Linked DNA regions of Schizosaccharomyces pombe. The protein of the gene in region 1 binds, or shares a complex with, the protein of each later gene. Each region holds a gene or a part of one and is shown in the gene's direction. Other genes may lie near its edges.

The links.
Region 2: mrp21 (region 1) and rsm27 share a complex: the UniProt entries of both Schizosaccharomyces pombe proteins name them as parts of the mitochondrial small ribosomal subunit.
Region 3: mrp21 (region 1) and mrps17 share a complex: the UniProt entries of both Schizosaccharomyces pombe proteins name them as parts of the mitochondrial small ribosomal subunit.
Region 4: mrp21 (region 1) and snr1 share a complex: the UniProt entries of both Schizosaccharomyces pombe proteins name them as parts of the mitochondrial small ribosomal subunit.

What each region holds. Positions count from the first base shown.
Region 1 is NC_003423.3:616,367-620,210, reverse strand, and holds mrp21 (mitochondrial 37S ribosomal protein bS21m), read left to right. Parts: upstream 1-2,037; 5' UTR 2,038-2,072; coding exon 2,073-2,148; intron 2,149-2,242; coding exon 2,243-2,532; 3' UTR 2,533-3,020; downstream 3,021-3,844. Other genes in the region: U1 snRNP-associated protein Usp107, read right to left, coding at 1-1,789, 1,839-1,857; its8 (pig-N family GPI synthesis protein), read left to right, coding at 3,745-3,844. UniProt on the Schizosaccharomyces pombe protein: Component of the mitochondrial ribosome (mitoribosome), a dedicated translation machinery responsible for the synthesis of mitochondrial genome-encoded proteins, including at least some of the essential transmembrane subunits of the mitochondrial respiratory chain.
Region 2 is NC_003423.3:3,070,047-3,075,262, forward strand, and holds rsm27 (mitochondrial 37S ribosomal protein mS33), read left to right. Parts: upstream 1-2,207; 5' UTR 2,208-2,347; coding exon 2,348-2,583; intron 2,584-2,648; coding exon 2,649-2,686; intron 2,687-2,739; coding exon 2,740-2,747; 3' UTR 2,748-2,941; downstream 2,942-5,216. Other genes in the region: pyruvate dehydrogenase e1 component beta subunit Pdb1, read left to right, coding at 497-1,597; gpi1 (pig-Q), read right to left, coding at 2,942-4,903. UniProt on the Schizosaccharomyces pombe protein: Component of the mitochondrial ribosome (mitoribosome), a dedicated translation machinery responsible for the synthesis of mitochondrial genome-encoded proteins, including at least some of the essential transmembrane subunits of the mitochondrial respiratory chain.
Region 3 is NC_003423.3:1,165,749-1,169,441, reverse strand, and holds mrps17 (mitochondrial 37S ribosomal protein uS17m), read left to right. Parts: upstream 1-2,144; 5' UTR 2,145-2,237; coding exon 2,238-2,510; 3' UTR 2,511-2,922; downstream 2,923-3,693. Other genes in the region: DNA recombination protein Saw1, read left to right, coding at 393-755; rRNA processing protein Tsr2, read right to left, coding at 1,108-1,380, 1,642-1,908; rib4 (6,7-dimethyl-8-ribityllumazine synthase), read right to left, coding at 3,195-3,632. UniProt on the Schizosaccharomyces pombe protein: Component of the mitochondrial ribosome (mitoribosome), a dedicated translation machinery responsible for the synthesis of mitochondrial genome-encoded proteins, including at least some of the essential transmembrane subunits of the mitochondrial respiratory chain.
Region 4 is NC_003423.3:2,978,827-2,982,996, forward strand, and holds snr1 (mitochondrial 37S ribosomal protein mS47 ), read left to right. Parts: upstream 1-2,175; 5' UTR 2,176-2,235; coding exon 2,236-3,525; 3' UTR 3,526-3,614; downstream 3,615-4,170. Other genes in the region: mmp1 (endopeptidase catalytic subunit), read right to left, coding at 80-298, 346-472, 516-643; yml6 (mitochondrial 54S ribosomal protein uL4m), read right to left, coding at 835-1,620; fib1 (fibrillarin, rRNA and histone methyltransferase), read right to left, coding at 3,938-4,170. UniProt on the Schizosaccharomyces pombe protein: Component of the mitochondrial ribosome (mitoribosome), a dedicated translation machinery responsible for the synthesis of mitochondrial genome-encoded proteins, including at least some of the essential transmembrane subunits of the mitochondrial respiratory chain.

The sequences.
Region 1 (3,844 bases):
TCAACAGGTATCTTTTCAATAAGTGAACGAAGTCTTTTCGTCTTCTCGGCATCATTTTCTTCCATAGCAGGCTTTGGTTTTTGAGGGTTGGGAGAATAGCCTTGCGGTTCTTCGTCTTCTTCTTCCAAAAGCAGTCTCTCCGGAAGTCCAAATTCTCGTCTTTCAGAAGGAACAGCTGGTTTCTTGGTTTGTATTTTGATTTTGAAGGGACCATTTTCATGTTGAGGCATTTCACTAGTCACCAGCTTACCATTTTCGACATAATTCTCTGTCTCAACGGTTGCACCTTCTCCACGGGTACGTAGTTCTCTTTCTTCCTCCTTTCTGTCAAGAGCATCTGCGTCTTCTTCTCGAGCACGAGCAACTGCACGATGTCTAATCCAAGCAGCACGATCGACAAAATATTCGTCTCGAGATACGCGAGCTTCCTCATCGTCATCAAAAGAAGCTAATTTTTCCGAAAGATAAGTACCAAAGGAAGTGTTATTAACACGTTCTTCTTCTTCACGAGCAGCTTCTCGTTCTAAAGCTGCAGTTCGGGCCTTTTCACGATTCATCCAGCGCCGTTCCCTTGCGTAATACTCTTCAGCCTCCAATTGATCCTTCCTTCTCTTCTCTTCATAATAAGCTTGTTCATCGGAGAACGACTCGGGAATGCTATCTTCTGCTCTTAAAAAGGCATTGACTGTAGACATAGGGATACGTGAAATACGATGTTTTGACAAAAGGTTTTGTAAATCATCATTTTGCTTTCGAAGCTTTTCTTGTTCTTTTCGTGTATACTCTTTATATAAACTGGCATACTCGTCCTTAGACCTTTGTTTTTCTCGTTTTTTCATAGCAGATTGATCGCGAAAGGATCGTATTTCTTCTTCAATAACCGGTAATAATTCAGGATTAATTCCTTCTAAATCAGCAGCATTAATGGGAATTTCCGAAGTTTTGACATTTTGTAGTAATTTTTCGTTTTTCTCTCGGGCCTGTCGAGCTGCCCTTTCAATGCGAGAACGGACATCAAAATTGCCTATATCTTGACAAATTCTTTCGAGGTTAAAGCGAATTTGCTGTAAAATGTTTATCTCTTTCTGCTTATTTCTTGCATAACGACTCGTTTGCCATTCACGATACAATCCCTCATTCTCAACATCTGTAATCAATGACAAGCGAGTTGAAGGACCACCTTCGTACAAAGGTGGAACAACAAAATCATTTAATGCTTCTAATGCTCTACTGAATTGTTCATTTGATTCAAACTCTGCAAATCCAAACGAAGTCATCGAGTTATCTGCATCAGCAACCCTTCGCCAAGAAGCCAGCTTCCCGGACAATCGAAGAATTTTATCCATCCAAAAATCATCCAATTCTTTCGGTATATTACCAATAAAGAGCATCCGCCGCATTTGTTGACTATTTGGAGGGACAAACGGCCGCGATTCCCTTTCTGTTGTAGACTTCTCTGAAGAAGGTGTTTGAAACGTCTGTTTCTCCTGAATCTCATTACTTTTTTGATTTCGGGGTAAGTTTTTTCTATCTTTTTGTTGCGATTCATTATCTCTTAAAACTTGTTTTATGGGAAGTTTACCAAACTTCAGAATTGGCTGCGAAAAATCATAGGGACTACTTGCCTCAACAGGATTATCTACCAAAAAAGCGCCTTGGCCATACAATTTTTTGTATAAGCTCCTGTAATCAGGAGGTAAAGGGGCGAATACAGGTTGGATTGGGACGACATATGGAACGCCGTTGCCAACCATAGGAACCTGTGGCATCATTGGCATACCGGCAGCCTCTAAATAAAATTAGATAAATTCTTTAGCAATGAAATTGAAATTACTTACGCGTATTCTGCCGCTGCATAGTTGTTGGAGGAAAACAGATTCATGTGTATCATGTAAAGGTATATAGTGAAGTGTAAATGTGATTATCCTATTTTTAGTTTATGAATTTTATGTCTTTTACGCTAATGCAAAAAATCGATGTTCAAGGCAATTTAACGAATTCTTTATGCAGTTGTACTGCGGTGAGATTCAGGCTTCTCAAATTGCCAAGAAAACGCAAAATAACTATTTAAAATGAACAGTTCTTATTTCCCAGGTGTTCTAGGGGTCAGATGGGTACATACAAATAGGAAATTGCAAAAGAGAAAAGGTACGAAGAAAATCCATTGAAGTTGCTATTGTCTTTCAAGAATATGATTTTCGATTGTTGGATTATTGTCTGCTAATACTTTATTGATATTTAGAGGAGCATGGTGCGTTCCAAGATTCGCTTCATTTTATGATACCCGCAGCAGAAACAAAAGATTTAGGTGCAAGTGTGACAGTTGGAAATAGTCTAACAAGAGCATTTCGACAAGTTGATAGAATATGTCAAAGGAATAATGTGCCAAGGCTATTCCGTTCACAGAGATTTTATGAAAAACCATCCGAAAAGCGATCCCGCGTTCGTTCAGAAAGACACAGGGCAAGGTTCCGCGCTGGAATTGTTCGACTTGTAAACTTAGCAAAGAACATGCGTCGTTGGGGTTATTGAGTGATTCTTCGAACATTTCATTCTATTTCTTGGTTACGAAAATCCATATTAAATTAATGTATTTGGAGATCGTTGTTCTCATAGCTTTTCATTTAAGACGAGAATGCTCGAAAACCCCCTTTTGAAGTAAAATAATATATTGCTTTTTACTTCTCCGCGGATTTAAGAGCTAGACATTTTTGGGAAATATTCGTTTTTTGTTTTGTCATTTCTAAATTTTTCCTGGTATCTTTGCTTAACCCCTCCCCTATCTTATGATTTTCTACTTAACAGGATTTATTGTCTAATAACTGTCTCTACCTTCTTTTATCTTTTCAGTTTGACAATACTGCGAGATTGAGCTTAATGTTTGCATTACCCTCTAATATTACTATTCTGTTTTGCTAGCCTATAACAATTTTCTTAGTTAAATCGATGAGTTTGTTACTCTATTTATTCAAACTAATGCTGGTCGCAGGAAGTTATTACTTCTGCATGTTATAATAAATGAATTCGTTTCCTTTCGTATTGCAAATGATTTTTTTATTATTGGCCATGTAGCAGCAATTTGATGGTTGTATCCCTTTATCTTATTATAATCGTCATGAGTAAACCGACTCTCAACGTGTAACAACCAAATATGCTTACCGCTGAATTTTCATTAATCTTGGATTTGAGCAATGAAATGATAACCATCCATTTTACATTTCTGTCAACGGAAATTAAAATAATACCGAAAATATCCATTTACAGAATCATTTTTTGCTTAATTACCAGATGACTATAAGTCCCATTATTGTGCACTGCATACCATAAAGTAATTTATCACTTCCTTAATAGATTTCTGATTATTTACTCTTTCATCCAGCTAGAACTAATTACGCATATTGGCCATAGCTCACAATATACGATGGAGCGCTACCACTATTCATTAGTGCATTCAAACACGGCATCCTTAATTACAAAACTCAGTATACATTCATTAGCGTTCGCTTATTCATTAGATCGAGCGTAGATCATCTGAATTTTAACCAATGGTAGATTAAAGGGGACTTCTGTTGATGTTTGTAACGACTCAACACTCAAACGCACTTCACCAGAACAAAACACTTCTTGCCTTGTTTAGGGCATCCTTCTTTTCCAAGAAGCGTCCTGGCATCTATCCAATTTTTGCCAAAAACCCCTAGTATTCCCAGTCAATTGTGGTAGTGGTTTCACGCTTAAATTTTCGCAATGTTTGGTCGCCTCTTGCTGTTAGGGATTTTATTCCATGTCGTCTTTCTCAAATCCATTTTTGATATCTATTTCGTAACTCCTCTAATACATGGCATGA
Region 2 (5,216 bases), 2.5 Mb from region 1:
ATTATGCATCAATTTGAACCACAACTTTAGGCTGTTTTAACTTCTCGTTCATCACCTTTTTGTCGGTGTTTATGCTCTGCTTTTCGGATATCGCCCTTAGGAGTTCAAACGATCTATTGCGGCAATCAATTTTGAGCACCGTATCTAGTGATAACAAATTATCTTTATCGGTTAAGCACGTTATTGCAGCTGCTTCAGTATGTACACATTTCACTATTTAGCAAAAATAAGATGAAACAAATGATACTACTAAGAGGTTATAATCATATCAGACTGTTTAACCATTCTTTTGTCATTTGCAATAAACACAAAATTTATAAAAGTGGTAGTATTCTTGTTAATCATCTACGTACTGTATTTAATTTGTTGTACCATAAGCCAACTCGAAATATTTTACCATCACACTGTTCTACTTTGCCCACTACACATATACAACAACACAGCGGGATAGCCCTAATTTTTAACGAAGTTAAAAAGAAGTTTGAGGGAATTTAAAATGATTCGTCTTCAAAAGTTTGGTGAAATTGTTGGGACCAGTCGTTCTTGGAAACTTCTTAGTTCAACCATCGCAAAGCGCTATTCTTCTTCTTCCAATGGAGTGAAGGAAATGACCGTTCGTGATGCTTTGAACAGTGCAATGGAAGAAGAAATGAAACGTGACGATCGTGTCTTCTTGATTGGCGAAGAGGTTGCGCAATACAATGGTGCTTATAAGATATCTAGAGGTTTATTAGACAAGTTTGGTCCTAAACGTGTTATCGACACTCCCATTACTGAAATGGGTTTTACTGGTTTGGCAACAGGTGCTGCTTTTGCTGGTTTACGTCCTATTTGTGAGTTTATGACTTTCAATTTTTCCATGCAGGCTATCGATCATATCGTTAACTCGGCCGCCAGAACCCTGTACATGTCTGGTGGTATTCAGGCTTGTCCTATTGTCTTCCGTGGACCTAATGGGCCTGCCGCTGCAGTTGCTGCTCAGCATTCTCAACACTTTGCTCCATGGTATGGTAGTATCCCTGGTCTTAAAGTAGTTTCTCCTTACTCAGCAGAAGATGCTCGTGGTTTGTTGAAGGCTGCTATTCGTGATCCTAATCCCGTTGTTGTACTTGAAAACGAAATTCTTTATGGTAAAACCTTTCCAATTTCGAAAGAAGCGTTGAGCGAGGACTTTGTGCTTCCCTTTGGCCTTGCTAAGGTGGAGCGCCCCGGTAAAGATATCACCATCGTTGGTGAGTCTATTTCTGTTGTTACTGCTTTAGAAGCAGCTGACAAGCTCAAGGCTGACTATGGTGTTGAAGCTGAAGTTATAAACTTGCGTAGTATTCGTCCTTTAGACATCAATACTATCGCGGCCAGTGTTAAGAAGACAAATCGTATTGTGACTGTTGACCAGGCATATAGTCAACATGGTATTGGTAGTGAAATTGCTGCTCAAATTATGGAGTCTGACGCATTTGATTATCTTGATGCTCCTGTTGAACGTGTAAGTATGGCAGATGTTCCCATGCCTTATAGTCATCCTGTTGAGGCTGCTTCTGTCCCAAATGCCGATGTTGTTGTTGCTGCTGCTAAAAAATGCTTGTATATTAAATAACAAGCTCAATTGTTGAGTCATCTGTTTAATAAAACCCGCTCTTTTCCCTTTTCCGAATAGTTGATATCTACGTATTTCGCTTTCTATTATTTTTACATTATCTACAAAGTGTAAATATCTAAGATGCTTGTCTTTAATGACTCAGATTATTGTGTGTGGGTCTTAGATGGTTTTAATTTCTTTGCAATTATTTGCGAAGATATGATTTTTCCAACCATCTTTCCAATTGGTTATCCGGGTTGGTATATCTACCTTTCAGGATAGTTTTGCTTCGTTTATCCTTAATATATGTTATATTGTATATATTACTAAATTCGTGTAAGTTTTTTAACGTAATCTGAAAGCCAGTGAACTTCAATTATATTATATTACAGCTAATGGAAATAATACGCTATATGAATATGTTCAACTATTTGGTGTCTATTATACTCTACTTAACTACTCGTAACCTCTTAAAGCGTAGAATATTAAGTACTTGATCCCACTAAACCTATTTACAGGTCTATCTTTAGTCAATGCACCAAAATGTTTCCATGTGGGGTTGATGAACTACTTATCCCACATCATCCGCTGTAGTATATCTAAGTAGACTTGCGCTAATAATACTTACAATAACAGAATTTCAGAATCCTTGCAGATGAAATCATAGTAGTGTCTTTAGCCTTATTATTGTTGTTTTTATTTCGTTTTGCCTTTAACTTTAAGCAACCACATTCCCTAGGAGCCTTCCCTAATTTTTGGTATAAAATCATGGCTAGCAAAGCAATCCTGGAAGAATTAAATATTCTCTCATCAAAAATATTTGGCACTCAGTATAAATCAAACAACTCGAGAACGGGTCGCAAATTTGTAGTACAAGAGCTGAAGGGAGCAAAACTGAAGAGCTACTATCCCGCAACTATCAATTATCGTCAATTAAGGACCCTTTTAAATGATAAAACATTTCCCGATAGTGATGAGGAATTGCGAATGGAAATCAGGAAAGGGTATGTTAGTTGTTAATTGAGATTGAATGTTTCTTTCACAAGAAATTAGCTAATTAAAATACTAGGAGAATACGCCAAGGAAAAGGAGCCTCCAAGTCAAAAAGTATGTAAAGCTTACTATAAAACCGAATTAGGAACCTTCTAACTCCTGTTTAGAAAAATAAATAATTGAAAATTGTGCCTTTCTAATACTTTGCGGTTACATTTCGCACATTTTCTTTCCAATTATTATCAAATGGGTAACGGCTAAACAGCTTTGAACGAAACTGATAAACTAAGTTTAATTATAAAAATTTTGTTGTTTCATAAACAAAAAATATTATATATCAACTGTGTGCAACAATACTTAACATTTTGATCAGTCGTAAGGAAATTTTTTCTGATGAAAAAGAAGATCTCGCAGTTTTCTAATAGATATTCTTTTGGTCGGAAGCATAGCGTACTGGATATTGTAGAGTTGCTCAGCAGGTATCGCTGGAACTGGGCAACCTACGAGCAAACTAATCAAAGTAGTTTTTGAAAGGTAATGCGAAATTAACCTACGCGCCAGTTTCCGATAATGCTCAAACATGGATCCAAGAGACATCGGTTTGGAGTTGCAATTGAGATATAGCGTTGCGAAGCCGTCTTGTTTTAATGGTTCAAAGCTGACTATCTCAAAATTCAGCCCACTTGGTATTCTATAAGGATCTTTAATTCGTAACATTGTAACAAATAATGGGAAGTGATTCAGGAAGGCTAACATAGTTTCACAGATTGCCAAGCATGTCATCACGGATACTCGTGTTAATGCAAATGCTGCATAGAAAACATATATTGTAGGTAAGAAGAATATTAGTACCGTAAAAAGGATTGTTCCTAAAAGTAGTTGGTCTAAATCATACTCATATGAGTCGATTCTATTTCGTAAAACGTTTCTTTTTTTTCCTCGAAAAAGCTGCAGCAAACTATAAATTACACGTAGCTGCCAATTATACAAACGTGATGAAGCCAAATAAAGCAAATGTATATGAATAGTCATAACACTTAAAAAATCAGAAATTAAAGCGATCATTAAACTAGCACCCCCAAACCCAGAAATAGCGACAACTTGAACCAAAAATGGAGTCCAAGGCAAACAATGCAAAAGAAAATTACTCCATACGTCAATAACCCATACAGAAAGCTTCATAATAAACTTGCAAATGTCGTTGTTTAGTTTTAATCCAGCAGGAGTATCCACGAGCCATATAACCATAGAACGAACGTTTTTTATCGCATACTCGAATGTGATATTTTCTATTAATTTTACCACCAGATGAAGATTCTCTAAAATAAATGAACTCATTGTAATCCCAAAGATCATGTCATTCGCAACCAACCAAAGGTTGTTATAGAATCTAATATATTCTTTGTAATCCTCTATCGCAACGCGCTTGCTTTTCCGAAAAACCCATAATTTCATATATTGTACAGGCCAAAAACACGCTTGTTGCAACCTCAAATCTACTTGACGAGCAGAAACGAAAATATCCATCATATTATAAGATAAAGGAATCGGTCGGTAATTAATCGCCAAGAGTATAACCTCATTAATTATCCTCAATAATATGATAAAGTAAGCAAACAGCGAATTAAAAAAATAAAAGGTTGATGACGAGACACGATCAAAAAGTCGAAAAACATATGAATTTTTTTTGTTATTATTTTCATGTGTTAACATGCGAACCTCGAAGGATTGATTAAGAAGCTCAATTAAGCCTGAGCGTAGACTCCTTTTCCAGCTATTTTCTTTGCGTCGGGGAAAGTGCAATTTCAATTTTTTTAACAGTATTTGCTGGTGTTGCATGCTTTCGTATTCAGGGTTTGACTTGTTAATAAAACTATCTTTTAACAATAAAAGCGATAGAGGTTCAAGGGAAAGAAATTGCATTTTTCTTGGCTGCGGAGGATGATAATAAATTATATGCAGATTTATTTTTAAAGGCGTACTAGCCGAATCGAAAACTCGGGGATGAGAAAGCTCAGTCGATTGCTGCACTTTGATCCAACAATCAATTTCATATTTGTCACCCGGCAAAATATCGGCAGAGCAATTAAACGTGCCTAATATACACAGAGATTTAATATCTACTGATTGATCTTGATTTTTGCAATAATCAACTAAAAAATTAGCGAAGGATTGATAACTAGTAATTGTTGTCACAACGATAAGATCGTTGGTAGAGTACTTCCAACCAACTAAGTAACCAGAATCGGTATAAGAGATCGTACTTTTGGGCCAATATATCCGTTTCACTTCAATTGGAGCCGAAGCTATATTCATGGTTGTGGTAGACATTTGAAATATAATATTGAATGCTCTGAAGTCAATTCCGAAGTGTTTAATAAAAAAGACAAACAAGTAATAACAGACTTTAGAAGCATACAAAAAACTTTTGTTAAGAAAAATATAACAGGAGATGATACTGCTCTCTCCGGTGTTTAGAACTCAAGTTGTAAAATCAAAAACTTCCTCGACGTAAAAGCTGTTCCCTTGCAGAAATGCCACCGCTAACTGACGTTGAGTTACGAGCTTCGGATTCAGCGATTCGTTCTAAAAGAATGAAAATAAAAAATCCTAAAACGGTAAACAGTAGTACGTATGAAGGAAC
Region 3 (3,693 bases), 550 kb from region 1:
AATATGTTGGTCACAACTACTTTTCACAATACTTTTAGCCCTAATGTCTGCTCGTTTGCTATAATGAAAAAGACACCATTTTGATCGTTTACATCTCGATATATTTATTTGTTGTTAGATTCTCTCTTTTGAAGGATTATTGTTGTTCATATACTTAACTACTTGGCTAGTTAAAAAATAAATAATAAATAGCATTCCTAAAAAGTCGTTATGTTTACGACTCATTTACTTGACTGTATTCCCATCTTAGAATTGAAATTTATAAGTCGTCTTTTGTTGTATATAATTTAACTTAATACATGGAGTATTGAGAAATTCAAAGAGTTTTGTCATTTGCTTTTTTTGGCTATGGTTGACCATCCTCCCGTATCTAACCAGACACCAAGGTGCAAATGTGTTCTGTTGAGAAAATTGTGAGGTTGAGGCATAACTTGTTGTGTCACGTTCGAATTCATTTTAAAACAAAAGAAGACCTTGATATTCGGGCTTTCCTTTTTTCCCTACAGCGTGAATTGCATGCAGTTGCATTTCTCAACCAAGGATCCATCCGCACGCTCTACGAGAAAAGAGTAGTGGATATTACGAGTGAATCGGTCCAAAGCCATGCAATCATCGAAACTGCTAGAAATTTTGCACTACCAAATACTGCTGAAGAGGAGGAAAACATGGATCGAAAGCCAGAATTGCAGTTGAGTTTTAAAGGATCAATGACTAGTAAAATAATACATATTTATGTACAACCATTCGATTCATGAAAGAATGTATTTTGCGCCTTTTTACGTCTGCATGACTAAAATACACTCTATTTACAGCCTAATCTCATAAAAAACAAGTATTAAAAATTTGAGAAGTGAAAAAGCTGCTCAATTTAACTCGTATTCGTATTTTGGCGGATCACGTTCTTCTATACTTTTAACTACATCTTCTTATGACACGGATTACAAAGGCTTAAAAAATATAAGAGTTATTTCGATCCCAATTTTCAATTTTCAAACCAAAAACTTGAATTTTTATTATCCCCCAAAATACAAAAAAGATAAAACCAATTGCTCCCAGCAATAATGCTCATTTAATGATACCAAAAGATATAAGAATAGTACATCCTCTTTAACGACGTCTTTTCTGGACAACGGTGAATCCATCATCATCAACAATGGGTCCCTGCTGCTTTTCCTGCTGATTTTGAGCAGCTCCTCCATCCTCAGCATCAACAATCGTTTCGTCTTCTACCAATACCGGAGGATTTGACTCTTCTCTAGTTTTTTCCTTTCCTTCCTCCTTTTCAAGCAATTGTTTTCCGAGACGCTCATGGATTTCACGAATAGGTTCATAATTATCTTCGCAAGCAGCTTTCCACACATTAACCAAATCTTGAGCCAACTAAATAGACTGTTAATAGACGTATCACTTGATAATTATTTTAAATGCTAATAGAAGTAAAAAATTTTTAATATAGACAACAGAACGCAATATGTGTATAAACTCGAGCTTTTGACTAATATTCCAATATTTCGTCCTCAAACTTAAATCATTTTTTCGGTGCCAATATATATATACGAATCTTCAGTCTCAAGCAAGCTTGTTACGTTCTTTCTTGTTTGAAAAAAATCTTTACCTAATTTAGTATTGGTGAATACTTACGATATAGGGTGAGTCGTCTTCTATTGAACCAACATTGAATTCATCCTGCAGGACTTGAAGAATCAATTCTTCAACGTCCCATGCTTCCACATCGCTCGTAACTGTAATATAATCAACTAAAACTCCTGCCATCCAGTCTCGTTTATCGGCGGTATCGACATCGGCCCATTCTTCTTCAACAGCCTGTTTCATAACAGGCCATGAACATAAAAGAACACCGACAGCATATTCAAAATATGTCAGTCTCTTAGATGGGTCGTCAAACATGGCGAAAACACAGTGTCAATAACCCTCGTTCTTCTTCTCTACAAAGTCACCCTACCATAAAGTACTTTAAAATAAAATACACATACTTTTCCGATCCTCGTTATGTTGTTTATCACATTTATATATTATCATTAATTGACTTAAGGAAAGCTTATTTATGTTAAATAATTATAAGGGAAAAGACGCCGCTTCATTGCACATTTGTAAATAGGGCAATGTCAAAACTCTCTACTGCTAAAACGGTGCGCATTGATAACTTAGTTATTGTGGGTATTTAAAGGATTAGACTTACTTACTTTTCTTGTTTAATCCTAAAATTACTCTGAAGAATGAAGCTAAATTATGTGGGAATCGTGATTTCTCGTGCAATGCCAAAAACAGCGAAAGTGCGGGTTGCAAAAGAAAAGTTCCATCCAGTGGTGAAAAAGTATGTCACCCAATATCAAAACTATATGGTTCAAGATGATTTAAATTGTAATGTTGGAGATGCAGTTACAATACAGCCATGTAGGCCTCGGTCAGCGACTAAACGCTTTGAAATCATAAAAATCTTAAGCACAGCCAACCGTATGAGCCCAGCATCGGAGATTTCGAAAGAGTAAATAAAAAATCCCCATTAATTTTTGATGATTCCTAATGATTTCGATTGATCCATTGTGATAAGTCTTTCGCGGTGGTCATGAATATTGTAAATCGGTGATTGACCGCTCTTTCTTAACTTGCCAATTACCTGTATACACCGATATCGATTTTAACTGGAAATTTTTACATTCACAATGGCTACGTAATGTTGCAAATTGTAGATTGTGCATCAGAAGAGTCTCAAATCACATTCATTTCTAAAAGAAAACTACTCTTGTAGTACCATGTTTCCTGCTCCCAGCATTCAATGCCTTTAAATTTGTTTACAACTATGTCAATAATACTTCTGTAACATCTTTTTTTGTAAAAAGGGCAAGTGATTGAACAAGATGCATATAGACAGTAATATATTCAAAATAAAGCTTACAAAACATAATAAGTTGGGATTAAGTCTTAAGCAAATTTAAAACATCGTATACATTAACCCATAGCTGTATATCTTAACAAACTGGGGAATCATGAAAATACGTTGCAAACGATTGAATGAAAAACATACTTGTTCAACTAAGACGGTGCTCATAAGAAAGCGACAATGTATAAAGGATCATGACTAAAGCTTTAGCATGTCAGTAGGTCCTTTCGAAGAGCAAAACAGTCAGTAGCATATTTTATTAACAAAAAAATGAGCAAAGGATTCAACTTAATTAATACAAAGCTTTCAATCCCATCTCTACAGCAGCTGATCCCCAATCATTTCCATGGTTATGGCCACCATTCAAACCTGCACGATAAAGAGCTTGCTCTTCATTTAAAACTGTTAATAGACCTAGAATGACGGGAACACCTGAATCAAGGCCAACGCGCATAAGACCATGAACAACAGCTTCTGAAATATATTCAAAATGCATGGTGGAACCTTTGATTAAAACGCCAATGCCAATAACAGCATCATATGTATTGCGGGCGATGGAAGCACGAATACCTTGAGGAAGTTCCCAACTTCCCGGAACACTTTCAATGTCAATATTCTCCAACTTCACATCATGTTTTTCTATCATGGTCTCAACGGCACCCTTAACAAGAGGCTCAATGGCTTGAAGATTCCAGCGGGCATGGACAATAAGAATGCGCAATTCTGGTCCCTATAAAAAAAATTGATTAGAACTTTTGAATTAACTATTTTCACGAAAAAACTGCGTGAGA
Region 4 (4,170 bases), 2.4 Mb from region 1:
ATTAATAAATTCATACATTTCAATTAACATCTGGTGAGCCAAGAGTGAGTTGTAGAATAATATTTAATGCTCATAATACCTATTCCACATCTATGTCATTCAAAATGTTAGACATCCAGTGGGGATGTGGCCATACACGAGCTATAACTTTAGCCTTAATAAGGCCCATTGGAACAGGTCCGTAATTTCGACTATCAAGTGAGTGAGCAATGTTATCTCCTGCAAGCCAAACATGACCTAAAGGTATAGTTATTTTTTTATTTGAAGAGGTGGGATCGACATAAATTGTATCTCCTGGCTATAAAATTAGTACAAAAAGGATAACGTTCCATGTGAAATACTCACCATTCCAATGATTCGTTTGCACACGTGTTGCTTTGAATCGGAAGGTTTTGCCGAAACAACAACATCTCCTACAGAACATGAACGAGCAAACCTACCATGCAATTTATCTAACAAAACGAATTCACCACTTTTTAAGTTAGAACCATAAATACAAAGCGTTATTTCAATACCCAGAATTTAATGTTGGCATCATACTTGGACCCGATGTCATTTGCACTTGAAAAAGATACTCATGAATTTGATGCACAAATGCAGCAATCTGAACGACGGCAATAGGAATACGGAACATGCCAGCCATTGTTAACCAAGAGGTAACTAATCAAGACAGTAAACTAAATAAGCCGAAATTAAAAAATTTAAACACGACAAGAGAAAGGATTGAAAAAAGAATTAATGATTGTGGATTATAATGTTTCCGTAACTACCAAAATCGGAAAATGTAGATTCATGAAATTCAAAAACAATTGAAAGATATGCGTTTATTTCATATCATAGAGATAAAGACGGTTCAGGTTTTGATTTCGTAAAAGAACTACTATTTGCATCAACATAAGCAGTCAGGGAAGCAGGTTGATCCATATCACTTAGTGTATTTCGTTGAGCAAACTTCTCTACAATTAACGACATGGCTTCAGAATCAATAAATAGTTTACCGAATTTTAGTGCATCTCGAACCTGAAACTCACCAACAGGAATAAAGGAGCAATGGTAGCCTAACTGTCTAGATGCAAGCAATAAATTATTATTTTTAAGGGACTCATCTTCAAAGTAATTATCGTTAAGGACAAAAAGTGCCTTCCCGTACTCGTGTCCTAACTTGTGTTGCTTCAAAACTTCAAGCAAAATCCGTGTTTTTGGTTGACTTAAGTTGATGGGATTTTCAAGGATGGTCAGTTCATTATTAATAAATCTTGTACTTAGCGCAATCCTCATTGCTAAATTATAAACTTGGGTTTGTAATTTTGTACTGAAATCTCTAGGCTTAGGACCATGTGATTTAGCACCACCTCTTCTTATAGGACTTGAGGCATCGCCTACCCGTGCATGTCCTGTACCTTTTTGTCGATAAAGTTTTCGACCGGAACAAGTAATTTCATTTCGGCGCTTTGAGCTAGCAGTGCCTTGACGGTCATTATCTGCTTCATAAATAACGGCACGATGCAAAATATCTCGACGAAATCTTTCTTGCAGGAAACTTCCGGGAATAAGAAAAAGACTCGCGGGCTCCAACGACGGAAATTTATATCGCACCAAGTGCAACATTTTTGCTGTCATTCTGATTAGTTTGTGAAATGGACGACTAGTACCTGAAGAATGGATGTATTTTACTTTCAATTAGTCTAACACAATGTACTAAGTATCACAATGCATTTCATTATAACATATTGTGCATTCAAAAGTATCGTAAAGCGTAAAGTATCGAGTTCATTAAATTACGTTGTTTTATGCAACAGGAACTTTATGACTGTATACTGTTAGATAAATTAATGATATCTCATTCATTACCTAAAATAGAAGAAATAATTATTTATACTATGTGATGTCGTACATTAAATATTTGGAATTTGCTCATTCTGACACCTTAAATTGTTGTTGCAAATAGCACCTGTGTATTACAATAACAGTTTTGAGTACTCAATGCTATGCAACAAGTGGTTTAAGACTTTTAAAATCGACAAACCCTGAGAAACTAAATTAATACTAAATATAGATTTTTTGAGACAAGTATTTGCCCAGCTAATGCATGGAAACCTACTTTGTTTTACGAATGGTCTTTTGTGATTTGTTATTAGTTCACAATTAAGAACACACTTCGTTATAAAGTAACGTAGAAGAGACGTTAACCGTCTATGCAAAAATAATCGGTGTTATTTAACTTGGTTAGCTTTCATGGGATTGAAATTAAATATCTCTAACGATTTGAAAAAATCTGGATTTATGTTAAGGCAATCCTTACTTAAAACAAGTGTGTCAAATTTCCTTTCTTTGAATGCAAGTAGCACCATGTCTAGAGCGTTTATTCGAAATCCAAAATTTTATAGCACTTCCTCAAATGATACAGTTTTATACGAGAGTAAAAATGGAGCAAGGATATTTACTTTAAACAGGCCAAAAGTATTGAACGCTATCAACGTTGACATGATAGATTCAATCCTACCAAAGCTAGTTTCATTAGAAGAATCAAATCTGGCCAAGGTAATTATTCTTAAAGGAAATGGTCGCTCTTTTAGTTCGGGAGGTGACATTAAAGCTGCAGCACTTTCAATACAAGATGGAAAATTACCTGAAGTTCGCCATGCATTTGCTCAAGAGTATCGATTAAGCCATACGTTAGCTACATACCAGAAACCAGTTGTGGCTTTGATGAATGGCATCACCATGGGAGGTGGATCTGGTTTGGCTATGCATGTTCCTTTCCGTATTGCGTGTGAAGATACGATGTTTGCTATGCCAGAAACCGGAATTGGCTATTTTACTGACGTGGCTGCCAGTTTCTTCTTCAGTAGACTACCAGGATACTTTGGAACTTATCTGGGATTGACATCTCAAATCGTAAAAGGATATGATTGCCTGCGTACTGGAATTGCAACTCATTTCGTTCCGAAGCATATGTTTCCTCATTTGGAGGACAGGCTTGCAGAGTTAAACACGTCTGATATTTCTAAAATCAATAATACAATCCTGGAATTTGCCGAATTTGCTAGCAGTTCACCACCCACTTTTACTCCAGACGTTATGGATGTCATTAATAAATGCTTCTGCAAAAATGATACCGTTGATATTATTCGTGCGTTAAAAGAATATGCTTCAAACACTAGTGCTTTAGCGGAATTTGCAAAATCTACCGTTAAAACATTGTATAGCAAATCTCCGACTTCAATTGCTGTTACCAATCGACTTATTAAGTCTGCTGCTAAGTGGAGTATATCTGAAGCATTTTACTATGATCATATCGTTTCCTATTATATGCTTAAACAGCCTGATTTTGTTGAAGGTGTTAATGCTCAACTTATTACAAAGACCAAAAATCCAAAATGGAGCAAATCCCATGAATATCACTTTAAAGATTTAGAAAACTATTTCAAGTTGCCTTCAGAATACAATAATGGGATATCTTTTGCTGCAAAAGGAAGACGTAAAACTCCCCTTTGGAATTATAAGACTTATCCTTATTTATAATCCCAAAGGTTACATAAATTAAATATTGTTCTTTATGTCTACTAAGTTTTTTCAGTATTATAATAAGATGATTTATTTCAAAGACCCTGTTATGTTTTAGCATGCGATAAAGCACATAACTCTTTTTAGCAGCTAAAAATAATGATAGCCATTTTAAATACTCATACTAAAACTCTTTTTCGGTAGCTGTGCGTACGATAGTTCAAAAAAAAGAATGCTAACGGCATTAATATATATTCCATAATTCCCATATTGGATCAAACAATGAGAAAATAATTGACAAAACTGCCAAACGCATACCCAAAATATATTTTTATTATTCCAATTGCTCACGGCCTTACCATAAGCTTTTCTAGCAAAAAAAATTATATGATAAACTAAAAAAGCATGCACTTATGGCATATATTTCTGTTTACTGATGTCTCAAGTATTTTCCTACGATGATACAGTGATCACGTTCGTAAGGCTCTAAAGTAAGTTGTTCTTGAGGTTTAATCTTTTCCTCTTGCATTTTCTTAACCTCACGAGCAAAAACAACAGCTGCATCAGCGGTAGAATCAATACAAGAAGCCTTAACAGAGATAACAACTCCACCTTCGTTTTTCAAAAAGGCGGCGGCGTTCAAAGCAACGATACGAGCCTGAT